Drosophila melanogaster: one gene and its partner. The protein of the gene in region 1 interacts with the protein of each later gene in a pairwise test. Each region holds a gene or a part of one and is shown in the gene's direction. Other genes may lie near its edges.

The links. The genes of interacting proteins can lie anywhere in the genome.
Region 2: the proteins of CG15605 (region 1) and Rip11 interact in a two-hybrid assay, tested with the Drosophila melanogaster proteins (one large-scale study listed by BioGRID).

What each region holds. Positions count from the first base shown.
Region 1 is NT_033778.4:17,121,719-17,131,648, reverse strand, and holds CG15605 (uncharacterized protein), read left to right. Parts: upstream 1-4,625; 5' UTR 4,626-4,689; coding exon 4,690-5,148; 3' UTR 5,149-5,239; downstream 5,240-9,930. Other genes in the region: CG45273 (uncharacterized protein), read left to right, coding at 140-406; Cda9 (chitin deacetylase-like 9), read right to left, coding at 1,405-1,654, 1,767-2,491, 2,598-2,816; Amy-d (amylase distal), read right to left, coding at 5,365-6,849; Spn53F (serpin 53F), read left to right, coding at 7,422-8,439, 8,501-8,622.
Region 2 is NC_004354.4:18,643,119-18,653,572, reverse strand, and holds the start of Rip11 (Rab11 interacting protein), read left to right. Parts: upstream 1-6,005; 5' UTR 6,006-6,352; coding exon 6,353-6,383; intron 6,384-10,454. Other genes in the region: Ing3 (inhibitor of growth family, member 3), read left to right, coding at 610-709, 786-2,746; Hou (houki), read left to right, coding at 3,303-3,420, 3,481-4,040; Nup35 (nucleoporin 35kDa), read right to left, coding at 4,213-5,057, 5,117-5,267.

The sequences.
Region 1 (9,930 bases):
AGCCCTTGTATCATCTGGCCTTATAAGGGATTGACTACTTTCACAATTATCTTGGCCAACGAGTCGTAATGATCAACTGAAAACTGTGCTTTTGATTCAGTTCAATTTAACTACTCATCGGCAACGGTTTGAATTGAAAATGGCATCTTCGATGGACTTACTCTGGCTTTTTGGCATTTTGGTTATCAGCAGCGTGCTACTGGAAACTTCGACTCTGAACAGCGAAGTTGTGGAGTCCGTAACCGTTGCTTCGAAGTCAAGCAACTTCAGTGAAAATGTGAAAATAAAACTGGAAAAAACCTGGAATCATAATGGAACTATGCAGGCGCAACCGTACAATATTCTGGAGACCAACTGTCCTCATGGCTATGTCCTGGCAAATAAACATTGCCACAAGCGTGCCTAAACGTATTGAAATAAATGTAAATGTTACGTAAAGATAATTTCTGTTATAGCACATTTTGAATTGAAGATCATATGTTCGCATATAATTACACAATTATAAAATATATATGATTTAAAAGCATCTCTGTAAGACAACTTTAAATAGCTCTTGGCATTCTCCTAACTTGGCACTCAATAAAAATTGCACCTTATGGCATTGCTAAGTGTCCACAAGAAAATTCTGCCCCCACTCGTTTTCGAGACTTTTTACACAATTGACTCAGGTCATCAGAGAAGACCCTCGATTGCCCCCTGATTCCGCCCACTCCTCGGTTCACTATCAACCAATATGTTGCGGTTGCTTCCATGTCCAACCTGGCCAGCTGGCCCACCTCCACTCGGACCGAGCATTACCCAAGGGACGGGGTGGTTCGGCTGGCTAACCGCATACATAATTTGCGACAGCAACCGCAAAATGCGGCCGCACAGGATCCCCACTCTGGCCAATACTCAGACCCTGACTGATATGCAAGCCAAGGACTGTCATTAGTTAGAGGTCCATTAACAAAAATGCAACCGATGGCTGCTGCGATGGCCAGACGGGCGGACCGTCATTTACAGGTAGCAGCTGCATTGACAGGACCCCAAGAGCAGGACTCCATGTGAGGGTCCGGAAGTTGGCGCATTAATTCAGGAGGCAGCCATGAAATATGACGACACTCGGGGGCTCTGCTCTGCTCTGCTCCGCTGAATGAGTTAATTAAGCGTCTCACGGCCAGAAACATAATTTGGGCTCATTTATCAGTGACGGCGGTGATGCGGTGCATGTAAATTTGCCTTAGCGATGGGAAATGTCAGCCGTTATCCTTGGCAAAACACGAAAGTTTCATTACAAAGTACACAAAGAAAAACAAATGCGCTATAGCCTTTGCATGACCAAGCAGAGACCTATTTTTCTATTCAAAAATATCATTTTATTTTTTTCAGTGTACACGCTTTATGCGCGAATGTCTGGCGGGCTTAGAGCTGCTGACCCAGAGGATTGTCCAGCCAGGGATAGACGGACGGGCACTTGTCGCATACGGTCATGTAGCGCTCCTCGCCGGTGGACATCTTTTGGACGTGGCACTGGACCGCTCGACACTCCGCCTCCGGCAAATCGGGACAGTCCTTGAACGGGGAGCCCAGCGTCGGCTTTCTCACGTACTCCAACATTCGCGAAATTCCGGTGAAATACACATCCGAATAGGTGTTCAGGTGGTTAATGAATCTGCGCGAATTTAATTGGGTAGTTATTTTCAATTTGTTAGAAACCTGAGGTATAAAGCTGCTTTATCTTTATCTGTAGGTAGTATATGGTACACGGAATTATAGTTACTTACTTTTTAAAGGCACCAAAGTAATTGCGACCCCGCGAAAACCACGCAGCATGCAGATACATCCCGAAGGGTGCTCTATTGCCAAGATAGTGCCTATTGAAGTTCTCCATCATCCAGTCGAACAGCTCGTCCATATCGTCCTCCGGCGGGTAAACGCAAGCATCGATCATGGAGCAACTGTAGCCCTCAGTATCGGTCCACGTGACCATGGGATTCACCCAGAATCCGGGAATGGATGCCTCTGGACAGGGGCCTATTTGACAGTCCTGCTTAGACTTGTAGTCCAGGGTGTACGGCCACATGGCCGGATCCTTGAACTTTTGCGTTGGCCAGGAACTGTCGTAGGTCAAGCCCAAGCGACGGGCTGCTTCAAAGGTGTTATTGCCCGAAATTTGGAGGAACGGCAGGCGCATTCCCTGTATCTTCTTGGGATTTACTTTGGCAAAGGTCTCTAACATTTTGAGCTGCGCTCCAAACTCTCGCTCGATGGTCGGAACATCAGCTGAACGCCAGTAATCGGTGCCATCTCCATGGGTCACCGAATGTAGGGCTATCTCGTGACCGGCCCTATAGAGTGCATTCACCCTCACGTAATCCGTGTATTCGTGGGACAAAAAGAAGGTACCGGCGGCTCCACAACCATCTGGATTGATTAATCCATCGAAAAGCAGCTCGTACTGGGCAAAGTTGACAGCATTTACAGCGTCATCGAAAGTGATGGTCACGAACTGGGAAAGAATATATTCATATATAAGTATTTATAAGATGCATTTCTGATTTATCGAAAGCAACGGAATGTGTAATATATTAAGAAATTGTTACAAATTGTTACACCTGCGGAATCTGGTTCTCCTTGCCCTGGAACTTGGATGTGGGTAAAGCGGCATCGGAGCAGCGGCAATCGGGTAATTTGCACTTGCTGGGTTTGCAGGGTTCGGCCATTGGCAGGATTCCATTCTGCTTATTCTTCTGCTTTTTGGACTTGGACTTGGCCTCGCTCATGAGAGCCACGGTCAAAATTAGGCCCAGAATTAGCAAGGTAGAGTACTTCATGCCGGCCTAGAAAGAACTCTATGCTCAGCCATCGATGCTCGATGGTCTTCTTATAACCTTCAGGGAAAAGTGATATCTTATCGGTTTCTTGGGGCTCCAAATATGATTTGCTTGTTCAGCACAAGGTGTGGCTCAATTGGGTGGGGTTTCCTCAAGTGACCTTGTTTCATCCGCAGAGCAATACCAACTTCATTCAACCAAAAAGAGACAAAACTTTCAATTATAGACATGCCAACGATCTCGGAGTGGCCAAAGTTTGTCTCATTAGCATAACCAAGGAACTTAGCAGCTGAGATTTGCCGAGTTGAAGTGGAAAACTTTTCACACTTGCCGGAGATCGCAATCGATGGGCGCCGACTGCAGCCCAAATTATGACAGACCATCCCCCAGTCAGCCAGGAAAATGCACTTCAAATCGTAAACAAGTGCTTCACAAACTTTTCACAACAGCGACAGGAAGCTCTCAAAAACAAAGCACAAGGAACTCTCAGACCCCCAGCCAATCACACAGTGGGTGGAAGTCCTCAAATCCCGGCAGGCAGTGGGAAAAAGTCAATACAAGATTGAGGAAAAATCTGCAATTCCCTTGGGGAGCGAAAGTAGTCGAAGGAGCCGGAGGAGTCAGACATCCGTTTCCCGATTACTCGGGGTGCACGCCCCGAATGCGATTTGGTCACGTTCCTGGGCGTTGCCATCTCGGCTAGGAGCCGCAAACGTGGCCAACCAACCGCCAGTCAGCCGAAAGGACTCTCGGAAAAGCAGGCTGAAAACTGGGTGGAAAGTTTCGACACTCGGCACTCCGACACTCCGTTGTAGGGGCAATGCAACATGTTTGAGTGAGTTCGATGGTAGGGTTTTTATATCAAACCATCTTCACGATGAATTCTAATGAAGATTGAAGTTGCCGGGTTGGGTTCTTTATTGAAATCTGATTGATAGCGAACCGGGCATCGCTCGTTCATCAACACTCATTAGGAAGAGCACTATGCAAGGGCGTTGGGGTGTGAAATCAAAGGAAAAGATAACTAAACCAACCTCATTCCAACTCACACCAAAGGACACATGTGTGCCCTAATCAAAACATCTCACGTGACCGAAACTGCTCTAAAATGCAAATTTCTCGAGGCTAATAAAAATGTTACTCATATGCGTGGAAGATTTCCCAAGTGCCGAAGGCGACCAAAGAGAAAATTCGCACGCACGTCTGAAGCTGAAAACTATTACGCGGTGGCGGTTTTTCCACCCCGGTTCGGATTGCCTTCTGTTTGCCAATTTTCGCGATAATCACACAACTAATTTGCATAGCACTGAGACCAGCAAATCTGGGCTAATCAAATCAAGCAAACGAACAAACTCAATTTGCGGCTGAAGTATTAATGCGAACTTATACATGTTTTATTTTAAATACTCTATAAGAAAGGTTGTGAGTTTCAATTTGTACTGGCCTATGTTTTTACTATGCTACACTAAATTAGTATTTCATTTTTATGTATAATAGTGTTTACTCCAAATATACATTTCGGAAAAGTACACACAATTACATATTTTGTATTTTATCCTAAGAAAATGGTGTAGATTAGTTTAATCTAGGAAGCGGAAATAAGAATTCCTCCAAGTCTCCTTTTAAATATTTCTAGTAGAGCATTTCAATTTTGGAAAGGGGCTTTTTCCAAGCCTACGCAGATCTTAAGTCTTACGAAAGCCTCCATCATCATCGCATCCATCTGTTATTGCTTTGATGGGACTATGCAAATCTCGGCTTGCGAGATAGCCTGGCATTTCATTTCAAATAATTTTAGGGGGAGGCCAGCAGAATCCCAGGCAAAGCAAACAATTTTCCAAAAGAAATAGGCAAAATTCAAAATTACCGGAGGATGGCGCAAAGGGAACGCAAGGCAGGAGTTGTAAAGAGGGACAAGGCAGATAAGTGGAACCATGTAGAGACGGCTCGATACTTTAGGGATTTGCAGGAAAATGAGGTGCGAACGATGCATTATTTGGGGCTGGCCTACGTGGTTTTGTCTCGTCGCCCAAATTTGCAATTGAAAGTTCCACTGTCCACTCAAAACTATGAAGATGGAGCCATTGTGGGAGCAGGGGAGCGAGGAGGCTATGCCCTCCAGTTGCTCTTCACCTGTGCTGCGAACTATCCACTCGCAAGGCCGCTGGTGGAGATCGTGGAGAAGCGCAATGTGAGCGACGCCTTTGAGCAGGTTCTCCGCAAAGAGATTGACCTGATTTTGGAGGAACATCTTGGCCTCCAGATGATTGTGCCGGTGGTGACCCGGCTACAAATCACGCTGAATACCGAGATGAAAAGGCAGCGCTTTTAAATAAGGTCACGCATAAGTTGTTTTTTGCCATATTATGCGTAACAGTTATTTGTGGTCAATTTTAAGTACAATAAAATTAAGCATTTTCCATAAATATGTACTATGATTACTGCCCATCTTCCTTTTTCTGTGTTATAATCGCATAATATATATTTTAAAAATGAATAATCTCAAGTAATTGCTCGGCTTTTCGGCCTTGGTCTTTGCCCCAGTTGTTTACAACTTGGCGTTGACGTGAATGGCCAGCACTCCGTCGTCCTCGGAGCTGCCAATGTAGATGGAAGCCCGTCCGTCGGATCCGACGGTGACGGTCTTGCCCGTGCAGGAGGAGCCGCTCTTGGAGCCGGAAATGACGTCGCAGTAGGTGCCGGCGGGCAGGCCCGTCTGCAGGGAGCTGTTCAGGTCGTAGTTGTCGTTGTTGAAGGCCACGAAGCCGCGGCTACCTCGGCTGAAGGAGATCTGATTGCTGCCGCTGTCCCACCAGTTCTGGATCTCGTCCAAGCCCACGGCGTTCCGGAAGGCCACCATGTTGTAGATCTGGCGCCAGCGGTGCTCGCACACCCAGCCGCCGCTGCAGGAGTTGTCGCTATTGAAGATGGGCGAGGCGATGTTGTGGCCGTCGGTGGTGGGCGGGCCCTGATCGGTGTCCGTGAAGGAGAAGGAGGACATCACGCGGGGAGTGCCGAATGGGTGCGCCAGCATGAAGGCGGAGGCCATCTTGTACTGCTTGGGCACCTTGTAGGTCAGCACGTCGGCGCCTCCTGCTCCATGTCCGCGCTGGTTGTCGTGGTTGTCGACGAATACCAGGGAGCGGTCGGAGGCGGCGAAGCCCCAGGCGGTGCCCCAGTTGGTCAGATACTGCAGCTGGTCCTTGCCGCGGAAGACCTTGCCGATGGAGTCGGAGTGGCGGAACTCGGTGATGGCGCCCAGTCCGGTGTACTCGGACTTGCTGATGGCCTCGCCGCCCATGTCGATGACCTCCTGGACGATGTACGCCTTGGATCCCGAGGCGAAGCCGTGGTCGGTGTTCAGGTTCTTGAGGCGGCCATAGATGACGGCCAGGTCGGCGGGCCACATGTGCTTGGCGGCGTCCACGCGGAATCCGGCCACGCCGAGATCAATCAGATGGTCCAGGAACTCGACCACCTTGTCCTGCACGTAGGAGTTGCCCTGGTTAAGGTCGCGCAGACCGACCAGCTCGCAGTTGCGCACCTCGTTGGCGTCGTTGTAGTTGCTGATGGCGCAGGTCGGGTTGAAGTCCAGCGAGGAGTAGGGCACTCCGGGATAGCTCTTGCTGCTGGGGCTGGCGGTGCTGCCGCCAGTGCCGTAGGTGCCTCCGTCGGCGGCCATGTGGTTGAAGACCACGTCCACGTAGGTGCGCACTCCGACGGCGTTGCAGCGCTTGACCATGCTGGCGAACTGCTCCTCGTTTCCGGAGCGGGTCTCCAGCTTGTAGGAGATGGGTTGGTAACGTTCCCACCAGGGGCGGCTGTCCTTGACGGCGTTCTCGTTCACAGGGGAGACCTGAACACCGGCGTAGCCATTGGGTCCCAGGAAGTTCTCGCACTCGGCAGCGATGTCGTCCCACTTCCACTCGAAGAGGTGGACCATTCCACTACGACCGGATGCGTAGTTGGTGTCGAATTGGGCATTGGCCACCGCCAGGAGGGAGAGGCACACTATGCTCTTGGCCAGAAACATGATGATTTTAGGTGGAAGCTAAATTTCACTCTGATTAAAAGTGTGTCGATGCAGCTGCTTATATAGGATGACCAAACCTATTCGGCTTTGCCGGGAGTGATTTGCGGATTGATCTTATCGCCCCTAAGTCGCTACGTTCTCTTGTATGTATTGAGTTGATTAAATCGCGATTAAGGCGTGTTATCTTAGCTCGGCGCAGACCTATTGACTGGTGGCTAATTATAATTAGTTCGACATAAGTAAACATCAAGACAATGCATTCCTCAGATATTGGTTGATATTGGAGATTTATTGGCCACTTGACTTGCACGCCACTAGAAGCGTGATCAATCTGAACTTTGGCCTACAAGGAGTAATTTATATTGTTCTAATTTTCACAATACTGCAAGTTAATGTGGTGTTTATAAAGTATGTAAAAATTAATTCAATATATCGATATTACCATCAGTAATTGGCTCATGTATCACCTCTAGAATTGCAATTTTTACGCAAAGAGTTTTCAATTACACGCTTGAAATTGTGGGCATCTTAGCTTAACAAATTAACAGTAGTATTAAGTAATATTATAAATAATGTACGTGCTACTGCTAATCCTTTTAGGAATCTCACGCTACAGGGCTCAGAAAAATTCACAATTGCCAGATGAACTTTACGCAGCCATCGTGAACAGCTTTTCGAACAGGAACATTATGTTCTCGACGGAGATGATACGATCCAGCATGCTGTTCATCTATGTGGGCGTGGAGGAAGATGAATCCGAGCAAATTCGAAAGGCTATGCACTATCGAGGAACCCATCTATCTGAATACAAGCCGAAAACACAGAAAATCTTTGCCATGAGTGTGAAGAAGGCACCTGTGGCCAAGAGTCTTACCCGATTCTATGTACGTCAGAATATGAAAATGTCCACGGAATATAGAGTTTTTATGCGGCATACAGAGGGAAGAGCTCGTAATATCGCCTTTGCTCGTGAACAGCTAGACGAGGTTAATACATTTTACAGCCATGAAATGGGCGAGCAAATTGGGCAGGTGGTAAAAGAAAGCTGGTGGAAACCGAACAGCCAAGGACTTCTCGTAAATGCCATTTTCTTCAATTTGAGTTGGGAGCGGACATTCAATCCGGAGGCCACATATCCCCGGGAGTTTCGAGTAAATGCCACAAAGAGCGTTATGATACCCATGATGCACGAGGATAGTAAGTTTGCATTTGGCATCCTAGGGAATCTTAAAGCCACCGCCGTCCTGGTGCCTTTTTCCCATGGAGATCTCCGAATGCTCTTGATAAAGCCCGATCAGCCTGATGGACTTGCTGCCTTGCAAATGAAGCTGCAGGCCATGAATATCTTAAGCGTTGCCAGGAACCTCACTATGATGGATGTGTTTGTGGGTATACCGAAATTTAAGATACACAGTGATCTAGAACTCTCTCCAGCTTTTGAAAAGATGGGCATCAAGGATATATTTAAGCCCAGCAAGTCATTTTCAACGTTGCTTCACAGGAATACCAACTTTCGGATTGACGGAGTTATTCATGTAGTCACCTTTGAGTTTCAGGAGCAGGGCATTGGTACGCCAAGTACAGATGTTGGTAAATTTAATTATCTAAAAATCCTGAAAGACACTGTTCTATTATTTTTTTTTTATTTCAGGCAATGGTAGTTTGACACACACCTTTAATGGGGTGAAATATTTTTTGGCTACTCATCCATTTGCTTTTTATATCATAGACAACACATCAATATATTTTGCCGGTCATGTAACAAGCTTTTAGAAATTAACAAAATTATTCCAAATTATTTGTGAGCAATACAGGTAATTTTTATATTCTCACCGTTTGTGGGGAAATATTATTGCAGAGCTATAATGTTTATGAATAATAAAGTAAATCGTTTCGTGTATTAAAAAGATAATGTTCATTTGTGGTCGAGCCATATTCATTTCATTCGGCTCCCGAAATATCTTTTGATTAGCCAAAGGAATGGCACTGGTTGTGCGCCATAAGAATCCAGGTCATGTAGTCCGCATATAAATCCCGGCAAATTCATGCATGACCCATAAAAACCAATACCCCCACTTGGCCAACGGACTTGCCGGCACTCCAGGAACATATTTCCTATTTATGACTGCAACTTTCGGTCGAGTCGGGTGGGGTGTAAAAATTTCAACACGCTCACACAAAAATTGCCAATTAAGCGCATTTATGACTGCAGCGCAGCGTAAGTATGTGCGGCATGCAACTAGCCGGGTAGAAGTCGGGGTCACCACCCCCAGAATCACCAGCTCCCGGTGGAAACAGTGTCTGGCCCATAAACATCCTTAATGCGAGGACGTGTGCACTCCGAAGACGCTCGTCGGATTATTAAGAAACAATGAAGACGGGACGTCGCTAGAAGCCATAAAAGCGGACACATAACGCCCGGTTTATGGCGCAAGTTAAAACCGGAAACTAAATAGTTGACACCGCGCGGACATTGACCATCGGATGCTGTGGGGTGTTCCAAGGGAGGGGCTACTCTCGTAAAACTTGGGTCAATGACGAAAACATAATTTGTAATTTGAATTTGCTTCGTGTTCGAGCATAAGCAATGAGCTTACCAGAATGTCCTTCGCCGTTGTCCTTTGGGTATAAGGGATTCAGCTCGCGTTTTGATCATTGCGCATATGATTCGTTGGAAAAGTGATTGCTGCTGCTGGTGAAGAGGCTTGTAGGTTTGTCACTACAGGAAATCAGCAGGTGTGATATATTGTTTATAACATTTTGGCATGTGTCCAGCAAACCCTTGACGTTGAATAATAATTAAATTTTCTTATAGTTGTAGCTTTATCTATTATTTGTGTAGCTTGAATGATTTATTGTTCTTTGAATGTGATAAGAGAATGAGATAACGTTTAGAGTGACGATGATAAGGTGAATTCAAACAATCAGTTAAATCAAAACTTTGTTAATTAATTGCAAGTCTTAACATCCAAAAAGTTGATAAGAGTAAATTAATTTATCAGTCTTAGAAAATTGTGGTAATTAATTGTGAGACTTTAGTTTGTAAGCAAGAAAGTTAATTTTCTGTGAACTTTCAGGAGT
Region 2 (10,454 bases), on another chromosome or scaffold:
CTAAGCTTTTTACATTTACGCATGTAGTATACATATGACGATGAGACGCGTGTGGCAACGAAAGTGGCTGCATGTGGACGATGTGCATCCGGGAGCCACGATCCCAGACCCAAAAACAAGCGGGTAAACACGCATTTGCCAGGCAATAAGTGAAATAAAATGATATATTTGAAACAATCCTATGGGCATCTGTTGTTTGTTTATATCTTTAAAATGCTTACTCCTTATTGTTCACAACTTTTGAACAGTAAAAATGTGAGTATATATTTGTTTTGAAATATATTCACATTTTTAGTTTTATACAATACAGCTTATAATATGTAAATAAATAATATCATTAATTATGATTTCCATTTATACAATTTATTTAAATTTCGAATTTCACCTTACAGGGTTTGTGTCGCAGCTATCCACCCTGAGTTTGTATCGCGGTTTCGAGTCGATTGCTTAAATATCGATATTATCGAGCACTACCATCCGCATCTGGGATTAACTTCGTTTCGCCATCCGGTCACACACATACCCGCAACAATACACGAATTTTCATTAATAAACACACAAAGTAGTTAAAATTTTGGGTTTACACCGCGGCCCATTCGCATCGCCATCATGCTTTACCTCGAAGACTATCTGGAGATGATCGAGCACCTGCCGCAGGAGCTGCGCGACCGCTTTACCGAGATGCGCGAACTAGATCTCGCCGTCCAGAGTAAGTGCAACCAGAGAATCCGAATCTCTGCTTTTCGCCGGATCACTAACCAATAACTGCTCCTTGCGGTGCACAGACAACATGGACTCGCTGGACAAGAAGGCCCACATGTTCTTCAAGCAGTGCAAGCGCGACGAACTGCAGCACGAGTCGATGGACACGGAGTTCCACAGCCTGCGCGGCGAGTACTTCAAGGTGATGGAGGACGCCGACGAGAAGGTGGCTATTGCCACTCAGATACACGAGCTGGTGGAGCGCTACTTGCGCCGCCTGGATAGCGAGCTCTTCAAGTTCAAGTGCGAGCTGGAGGCGGACAACAACGGCATCACCGAAATCCTCGAGCGCCGCTCTCTGGAGCTGGACGGCAACTCCACTGCAGCCACCGCCCTGCTGCTGAGCATGAACCAGAAGGAGAACCGCTACTACGGCGCCAGTTCGGCCAATACCATGGTGAACAGCTCGACGGGACACGCAACGGGTGCCGCCACTGGCTCCTCCGGCATTGCACTGGTCAGTGGTGCTGCCGGAACGGGCGGTGCCCTCTCCAGCATCTCCACCGCCCAGTTGGGCTCAAGTCAGCGCCACCGCAAGCTGGAGAAGCGGCGGGAAACCATATGCACGGTGCCTGTTCAGGAGAAGCGCGCCAATCTGAATCACTCACTTCCCGTGGTCGGTTCGGGCTCCACGACTGCCGCGGCAGCCTCATCTTCGTCCGCCACAACGGCCGCAGCAGCCGCCAGCCTGGCCAGCGCGACGACTGCCCAAACTCATGTCTCCAACCACATTGGCAGCATCGCCGCCACTCATCTCACCCTGCCTGTGGCCATGGGCGTGGCCGGCGGCAGTAGCAGTCTTGCCAGCAGCTCGCTTGCCACAGGAACGGGTTCGCTGGTCCGCCAACTGCCCACGAACCTTACCCACACCGTGCTAAGCACCTCGGGTGGAGCGACCGCCGCAGCGGCAGCGGGCGGCAACTCCACGTCCGTGGTCGCTGCTGGTACGGCCCACGGGCACGCCCATGTCAGTGGGCACTCGGCCGCCGGGGCCACAGTCACCTACAACCTGCAACAACTGGGCGGAGGAGCCGCCGCATCTAGTGCCATTGCGGCGGCAGCCAGCCAGGCGATCGTGGCCACACAGCAGATGCAGCAAGGCCGCCGCACGGCCAGCCTCAAGGCGAGTTACGAGGCCATACACGGAACAGCGGGCACCACCACCGACTTCTGGACCCAAGCCGGTCAGGGTGGACTGCAGCAGTCGACCGCTGGATCGGTGACAGTGGCTGCCGGCACAGCGTTGGCCACCGGCGCAGCTGGCGGTAGTAGCACCGGCTCGCATCATTCGCACCACTCACAGTCGCACCATGGCGGCCATGGGCACGGACATGGTCATGGCCATGGGCATGGTCATGGGCACGGACACCACAGCAGCAGTGGTCACGGCGGCGGGCACAGCAGCCACCACCAGGAGAAGAAGCAAAAGAAGAAGCTAACCACAGCGCTGACGTTGCCCACAGTGCAGCCGACGGCCGGCTCCTCGTCGGGCAACTCGATTGGCTCGTCGTCGTCGATTAGTCTGGAATCGGTGAACAAGCTCACCACGTCGGCGGCCCTGGCGGCGGCATCGGCCACGACAACCTACATGTCTGTGGGTGGACAGGCGCTGCTCGCCATGACCCCCGGAGGTGGAGGCGGAGGCAACTTGGCGGAGAGTTCCGCTGAGGGCGTGCCCGCCGGAATGATTGCCATGAACCTGCCCACCACCACGGTAACGCCCGGCTCCAGCCTGACCATCGGCGAGAACGGACTCGTGGTGGAGCAGACGAACGAGGGCGAATGGTCGTACGATCCCAACGAGCCGCGCTACTGCACCTGCAACCAGGTGTCCTACGGCGACATGGTGGCCTGCGACAACGACGCCTGTCCCTACGAGTGGTTCCACTACCCCTGCGTGGGCATCACCCAGCCGCCCAAGGGCAAGTGGTACTGCCCCAAGTGCACCGCCTCCATGCGGCGCCGTGGCAACCGAAAGAACTGAGGCTGACTGCGCCTGCTGGCGCCCCTCTTCCGTGGCGGGGGCGGCGGCGTAGGCACCTGGTCGCGTCGCTAGCGGCTCTTATACTTGTAAAGTGACAAATAAACAAATTCAAAGTATTCAATAAAGTTAGATCAGCAATAGAGCAGCTCTTTATATTCAGTTCGGAACGCAAAGGCGAATAGTGGATTGGGATTGCACTAATATATCTTAACTAAAGTAGTTTAAGCCAGCTTCTAGCTTAAATAACAAATTTAGGGTGTTTTCGCTACAATAATAATAAACAATAAAATATAGTTCATTCGATAGTTTGATTTCAAAATTCGCGCCCTCTTGGCAATCAAACAGCGTGACCATGCTGCGCTTGCTAAAGCACTCTGGTCACGCTGAACAGAAGAAAAGAAAATTTCCAGCGTCATTTGTGCATTGCAAGTTAGTAAACAATAAAAGCGCATAAACAGGGCTAGGAAAAGCGGGAAGACGATTAGGTAAACAGAATTCGACGCAAATCGGTTGGAAAAACGGCCTCAAGATTGGCAAGATACGCAAGAGCAAGAAAATGAGCTACAACGAGAAATCGGAGGCCATCATCAAGGAGGAGTGGCTGCAGCGCCTGGAGCAGTTTCCCTTCAAGCAGGCGGACATGAATCGCCTGATCATGAACTACTTGGTCACAGGTGAGTCCGGGTCACCAGCCCGCAGCCACAGCAAGCAGCTAATCAAGGGCTAATCCACAGAGGGCTTCAAGGAGGCCGCCGAGAAGTTCCAGCACGAGGCGGATCTGGAGCCCAGCGTGGAGCTGAGCAGCCTCGATGGGCGCATACTCATCCGCGAAGCCGTGCAGGCGGGCCGCATCGAGGAGGCCACCCAGCTGGTGAACCAGCTGCATCCTGAGCTGCTCGGCAGCGATCGCTATCTGTTCTTCCACCTGCAGCAGCTGCAGCTCATCGAGCTGATACGCGCCGGCAAGGTGGAGGAGGCCCTGTCCTTTGCCCAAAGCAAGCTGTCCGAGTCCGGCGAGGAGGCCATGTTTGAGCTGGAGCGCACCCTGGCCCTGCTCGCCTTCGAGAAGCCGCAGGAGAGCCCCTTCGCCGACCTGCTGGAGCAGTCGTACCGCCAGAAGATCGCTAGCGAGCTCAACTCGGCCATCCTGCGCTGCGAGCAGAGCGAGGACTCCACGCCCAAAATGATGTTCCTGCTCAAGCTGATCTTGTGGGCCCAGTCCAAGCTGGACAGCCGCTCCATTAGCTATCCCAAGATGAAGAACCTAGAGACGGCGCACCTGGAGCCCAAGTAGAAGGGCAGCGCCACCCCCTTCGACTTCTTTTGCTAATGCTATTGCTAATATATCTCCATTTAATAAGTATGTATATGTATGTATGCTGGATGTAGGCAGTGAATTATTAAATAAGTAGCCGGAAACTCCATCACTCCATCTATCCATCCATCCGACTTGCCATCAGCCCTTCTTACCAGCCGAATATCAGGTCCATGGCCTTGTCCATCAGACCGGAGCTCTTTTGCGGCACATCCTTCTGCGGCGATATGATGTTATCTTTGCGGGCCAGCTTGTACGACTGCTGGGAAAACGGTCGAATCGCACTGGGGCTGGTGGGGGGATCTCCTATCTCTGCATTGGGCACAGAGCCGATGTTCTCCTTATCGATCACCGACCTATCCGTGCAGCGCGACACGCCCACCATCACATTGCCGGCGATGATTTTTTCGTTGTAGTTCAGCGCCTTGTCGCTCTCGATGCGCGAGGAGTAGCGCACATACATCCAGTTGCCGTTCTGCGGGGCATGCACCACGTCCACAATGGTGCCGCAGACGGTGAAGTGCTGCAGCACCATGGAGCCGGCCCCCGGCGGGAACCCGAAGATGGTAACCCAAAAGTCGGATAGGCGCGAGTTGCCGCCCGTCGTCACGGATGTGCCCAGGCCTCCAGCTGGCGAGGCAGTGGCTCCAAGTGGCGAGCACAGTGCTCGCATCGAGGCATTGATGGCATTGGGCGCCCCGGGTGCGAACGAGTCATTCGTGTGATAGCTGCTCTGGTAGCTCTGGTTCGGTGACTGCAACTGCAGCATGCCAAGATGGTTCTTCTTCTTCGGGGTGACGGACTGTTCGCGCAGCGAGTCGAAGAGTCCCTGGGTGGGCGGTCCCGTCTGGTGGTGGCTGTGCGTCTGGCCGTGCGCGGTCGTTGAGCTGTTGGCGCCCACAGCCGTGTGGGCGCCTCCTTGGGCGGCGAACAGAGTGCGTGTGCTCAGAGCGGAGCGGTTGAGCTCGTGCGGACTGCTGCCGCCGGGCGAGGTGGCTGCGGGGCATGTGTTCATATAGCCAATGCGTACGAGCTGCTTGATGCCGGCTACTTACCGAAACTTATATTAGAGCGCCCGGTTTTCGGGGACAGCGTGTTCTTGTGCGGCGTTATACCTTGCGGATCGCCGAGCAGAAAAGGTGGCAGATACTGGGTCTGGTTGGAGCCAGGACTGTTGACCGGGCTGCCCAGATTCATTGGCTCCATATCGAATGCGAATATTAATTATAATAATTATAACGGCGAAAAACGAAAAAGCGTTGCATTAACAAGGACGCCACAGCTGTAATCGGTTAGTGCGACCAGGCTGGGCTGGGGTCGAAATGCTAGAGGTGGATGCCAACATCGATGTCATCGATGTTTTCGAAAAATCACAAACATCGATGTTTTTCAAAGAATCATCGATGTTTTTCCATCTTTACTGCGCATCGTAGGTTAAAAGTGTTTAAATTGTGAGTATAAATTAAATTTCCAAATTTTCCAATTTCCATTTATTAATAGCATATTGCAAATTTTCAGTGACTTGCTGGTGGTCTTGGCTGGCGTCGTGGAAGACGACACGTATATTTATGCATGTATGCATGCGTGCACCTGCTCGTATGCATACTGGCTTACTTTTCTATTGAATTACTTTTCTATTGAATTGCATTAATTAGTATATTTGATTTATAGGAGCAATTATTGGACCAGGGGCGGATAAAAACGTAGACGGCAATAAGCTTGTCATGTTTAGTTATAGTACTGCCTTTTTATTTAAGCAATTATAAAAAAATAATAATCTTTAAGTTAAGCAGTTAATTTTTTTGTTTTTATTGAAAACATCGATGTCCGCCAACATCGATTTCTCCACCTCTACTAAATACGCCGTTCTTCGCAGTCGCGCCGCGCAACTTGCACTTTTGCAGCTCCCCGACTGGCAGTGGGCACATTTCGTTTCCCCCAAACGGTCACTCTAGCGGCCACCTTTCAAACAACAACATCACGCGTCGCGTCTCCGTCTTTTTCCTTTTTTTTTTTACATTAGACTACACTACGTTCTCCTGGCGTTTCGTTCGTGTCGCGCGTGATTAAATTGGCAACTGAGAACAATAAGAAGAAATCACAGTGTGCGAGCAGCAACAAACACAACGATTAGTGTAAACAAAACACATCGACAACAACAATCCAAATTACAATATAGGCAAAGAAGAAGAAACGAAAGGCAGGACCTTCGCAGCAAGAGCGAGACAGCAAAGGATCGGGATCGGGAGAGAGCGTGAGAGTGCGACTTGATCAACGGGATACAGGGTGACATGTGGAGTCCGACGCACTGTAGTGTAACGGGTAAGTGGGGGCGAAAAGCGGGGGACACCCGTTTTAGTATTTGTGTTTTTTTTTTATTTTTTTTTTACGGCGAATAAATCGCATTAAAACTTAAACTCGTTTGTGCCGCGTGTGTATGGGTGTGTGGCCTGCGCCGTTGTGTTGGTGTGTGCTTAAAATATTGTCATGACGGTCGTGTTGTTCCTATTGCTTTTGCTGCAGACGTACCAATTCGAAATTTCACTTTTTCCCCACCGCGCGCTTCCTCCTTTTGCCATTGCCTCTTGCTCTTCCTCTTGTGTTTTCCTGACTCCAGCAATTGCCTTTTTATCAGGCTTTTCTGGCTGATAAGATAATTCCCTTGCTCGAATGCGCACTTACTCATCGCATTGCTAGAAAATTGCTCATGCTAAGCGCTCCCCTTATGTATTTGCATCGCCTTCCGCCCCTTGGCATTCCTTAGCATACGCCCATGGTGGCGCTTTTTTGGTGCCTCTTGTTTACCTTTGCCATTGTTTTCGTTTTGCGTTTTCTTCAGGGCTAAGTGTCAATGAGAAATCGCGAATTCCGATTCCAAATTCGTGACAAAACACAAAGCGCGCTCATTCTGCTGTTCCCAGTCCAGTGATTATGGAAACAAATAATAACTGAAAGCCAAAGCATAGATATTTTCATATCTCCAACATGGCCAATAAGACCCTTTAAGAAATGTTTTCCGCAATGTTAGTTATTGGTTGCAATAGTGGCCACTGGGCGGCCAAATGAGTAAATGAGTCACGAATTGTGGTTCAATCTAGAGCTGCGTGGAATTTACACAAATCAAGATGATAAATACACTGGGCTCCATTGACATGAACGGATCCAGCTTGTTGTGATCTTGAACTTGCCCCGCTATCAGTTAGTACGTTCTTTGCCTCAATTCGCTCGTTTCATTTATTTTGCATATTTGCACAGCGCACAGTGTTTTATTCCAGCAATTTGCGATTAAAACCCAGAGCCGTTGACGTCACGGCGAATGAGCAAACAAATCATCGCCGTGTGGCTCTCCCAAATTCGCCGAGTTTCGCCTTGTTTGTTAAGTTCATATGTACATATATACAAATGTACACGCACATAAATACACCTGTCAATATTTGCCAATTTCTTTGCGATGAGAATGAGATGAGCGCGCACGCTTTGGAAACAGCTGTTTTCGCTGCTGTTCTCAGGAGCACTCTGTTCCCTATCCTTTGAAATGCCATAGTGTTCCCACACAGAGAGAAATTGCGACTCAAAAGGATTCGTTTTTTTTTTTGTTGTCTCTTTTCAAAACGAAATACAAAACTATTAACTTATATATAGAATAGGCAATTCTGGACTGAAATATTTAAATTAAAGGCCATGTTTTTTTTTTTTTTTAATTATTGCACAGCTGCAGGCTTTGAATTCTACTTACCAGATTTGCTAGTTAAATTAAGAATTCATCTGAGTTTACCATGTTTACATGCATGTTTGCATGCCAGAGAATTTCTTTCACTGTGCTTTTTTCGTTTCCCCTGTTAGATCATCCAGCAAACACCTGGCGTCCCGCCCTCTTATTAATGGCTTGTTGTTTGGGGACCATTTAGTCTGGGAGAGTTCCTTATCGACTGCGAACTCCACCCAATTGGCCCATTGCGTGCCTTATTTTTAGCCGTAAATTCTTGGCCGCCACTTACTCACTCACTCACTCCACTCACTTACTCGGCTACTTACTCCAACTCGCACATCTACGGACACACCTACTGAATAAATGCCTAAAATACCTGAAAATGAAAATTCCTCAGCGGGAAATTGTGCAATGAGCGGCGGGCAGCCAAGCAGACCCAAACAAAACAAACGCCTAATTTTCCTTTTCATTTCCATTTTGGTTTTTGGTTTATGTTTGGCTTGCTTTTGCAACGCATTTTATGCGGTTGCAGTGAAAATCAGAGCGGACCAGACCGCCCTTTTTTTTATCGATAATGAATGGTGGCGGCACAGTGAATACCTGCTAACGCGGAAGCCAGGTACCAGGTACTATATAACAAACCTATATTTCTTGTATTTATACTGCTAAAAATACAATGGAACCGTGTGATACATACGTAGTAATCTGTTACACTTCTGAACCTTTTAAGCAAGATATTGTGTCGTTCGACTAAAAGATAGATATTCTAATTAAATTGAAAAATGATCTTTATGGCAGCTTCTACTGTATTTCCCCTACTATCACCGAATCGATAAGGAAATCAGTGCGATAAGAGCTGGAGCTGTTGCTAGAACTGTAGCTGGAGCTGGATCACCTCTGGTCACGTCAGCGGGCAGATGGCGTCTTGAGATTGTGTCCACTTCTTCCGCACCCTGCCCGGCGATGCCATCGTCCATGTGAGACCGTTTTAATGCGGCTCCATCGATGCACTTATGCGAAACAGTTACGTTCCATTGCTCGACCCATTTAGCCAGAATAGAACCAAACAAACCGAAGCGGATCGGATGGGATCGGGATGGGTCCGGGGTTTGGTCTTATGATCATGATGGAAGGGGGAGGGGAGGGGAGGGGATAGTGAAGAAAAACAGGTCTGGCATTGGATGGGATCGCTGGCCGAAAGTCTCTTCGCATCGCGGGTCTGCAATTGATTATTTTCCAGTTCCAGTTCTTGGCCAGTGGCCACATTCCTCCGGCGCTTGCCGAACCCCAGTCCCCAGTCACCAGTCCCCAAGCACCGAGCCCCGAACACCCGGGCACATCCTCCCCTGAATATTCATGCTGGGAATCTCGGATTCTTTGAGCCACCGGGGCATTTATATTCAAAACATGCCATGGCAAACAGAAGCCAACTGCAACTGAAATGCTAATCGCCTTTCGTTTGGGAAAACTGTGTTTCATGTCTTCTGCTGTCTGTTTTCCATTTCAAAATCGCACGGCTTCGTGGGTTCAATGCTTGCGAGAAAGAAATTGTTTATGCATAACAATAAAATGATTCGCTGTAAGATGGTGGGATCCCATTGATAGACCGTTTACTTTGATCGCCGCCTCTGTACATTTTCGCATTTTCGCACGATCCGCACACACCCACACACACATACGTATGTACATACTAATGTATGTATGTACATATGTGTGCAATGTTGCATTGCCTGCTCGATGTTGCAGTTGCAACATTAATTGTTGCTAATGCTTTTCATCAAACGGGATCTGTGCTGTAATGCGGGGCCATAAAGGCGAGGATTGGCCCCCAGTTAGGTGAGCTTGTAGCACGTGGTTAACCCGAGTTGAAACCCATAACCCTGAACTCCGCACCATGAACCCTTCATCTTTCGATTGGCGCACTCGTTAGGCAAGAGCCGTCCAAAAGTGAGTCTCGAGAAGAACTATCTTCCGAAATGGGAGCGCGAGCAAGTGGCTCATTAGCATGCGTGGTTGGATGCCCATGCCCCAAGGAGCATTGGCCTCGGCTAGCAGTTTGCTGTATGTATATACATATACTTGGCCACGCCCTCTCACCGCCCCCGAAAAAAAAAAAGAGTGCGAGAGCTAAAAAAAAGTGGAACATGAAAGTGCGTGCTGGGAATTTCACGTTTAAAGTGCGCCATAAGAAGCAGCAGCTATAGAAGCTCTTTATGATTGCGATGCACTATATCTGTATCTGTATCTGTAGCTTGGTCGAGGGCTGGCGGGGATGGGGCCCGTCAATTAGGTTTCACACACACACACACACACATAATCCCCTGACTTGTGCGATCACTTCATGCCATAGTTTCTCTTTGGGAAATGTTGGGGGGATATGAATGGAGATGCCAATGGAAATGGAAATGGAAATGGTCACCTGGGGAGCATCAAAGCACTGCATACTGCACACGCAGAAACCAGAAAAGCAGCCGGGAAATCAAGCAAACAAGCCAAGGCACACCGAGAAATGATTTCATTGAAATTAATTAACCCGAAAGTTGACCTCTCCCCTCTCCACCCATTCCCTCCTCACATTTACACACACACACATGTAGTGGCGAGTCAGAAAGGTCAACAATATGCGATGGCAGATGTTGATTCTATTGTCGGCCGTCTGTCTCTCTGGGGTCGCATAAAACACA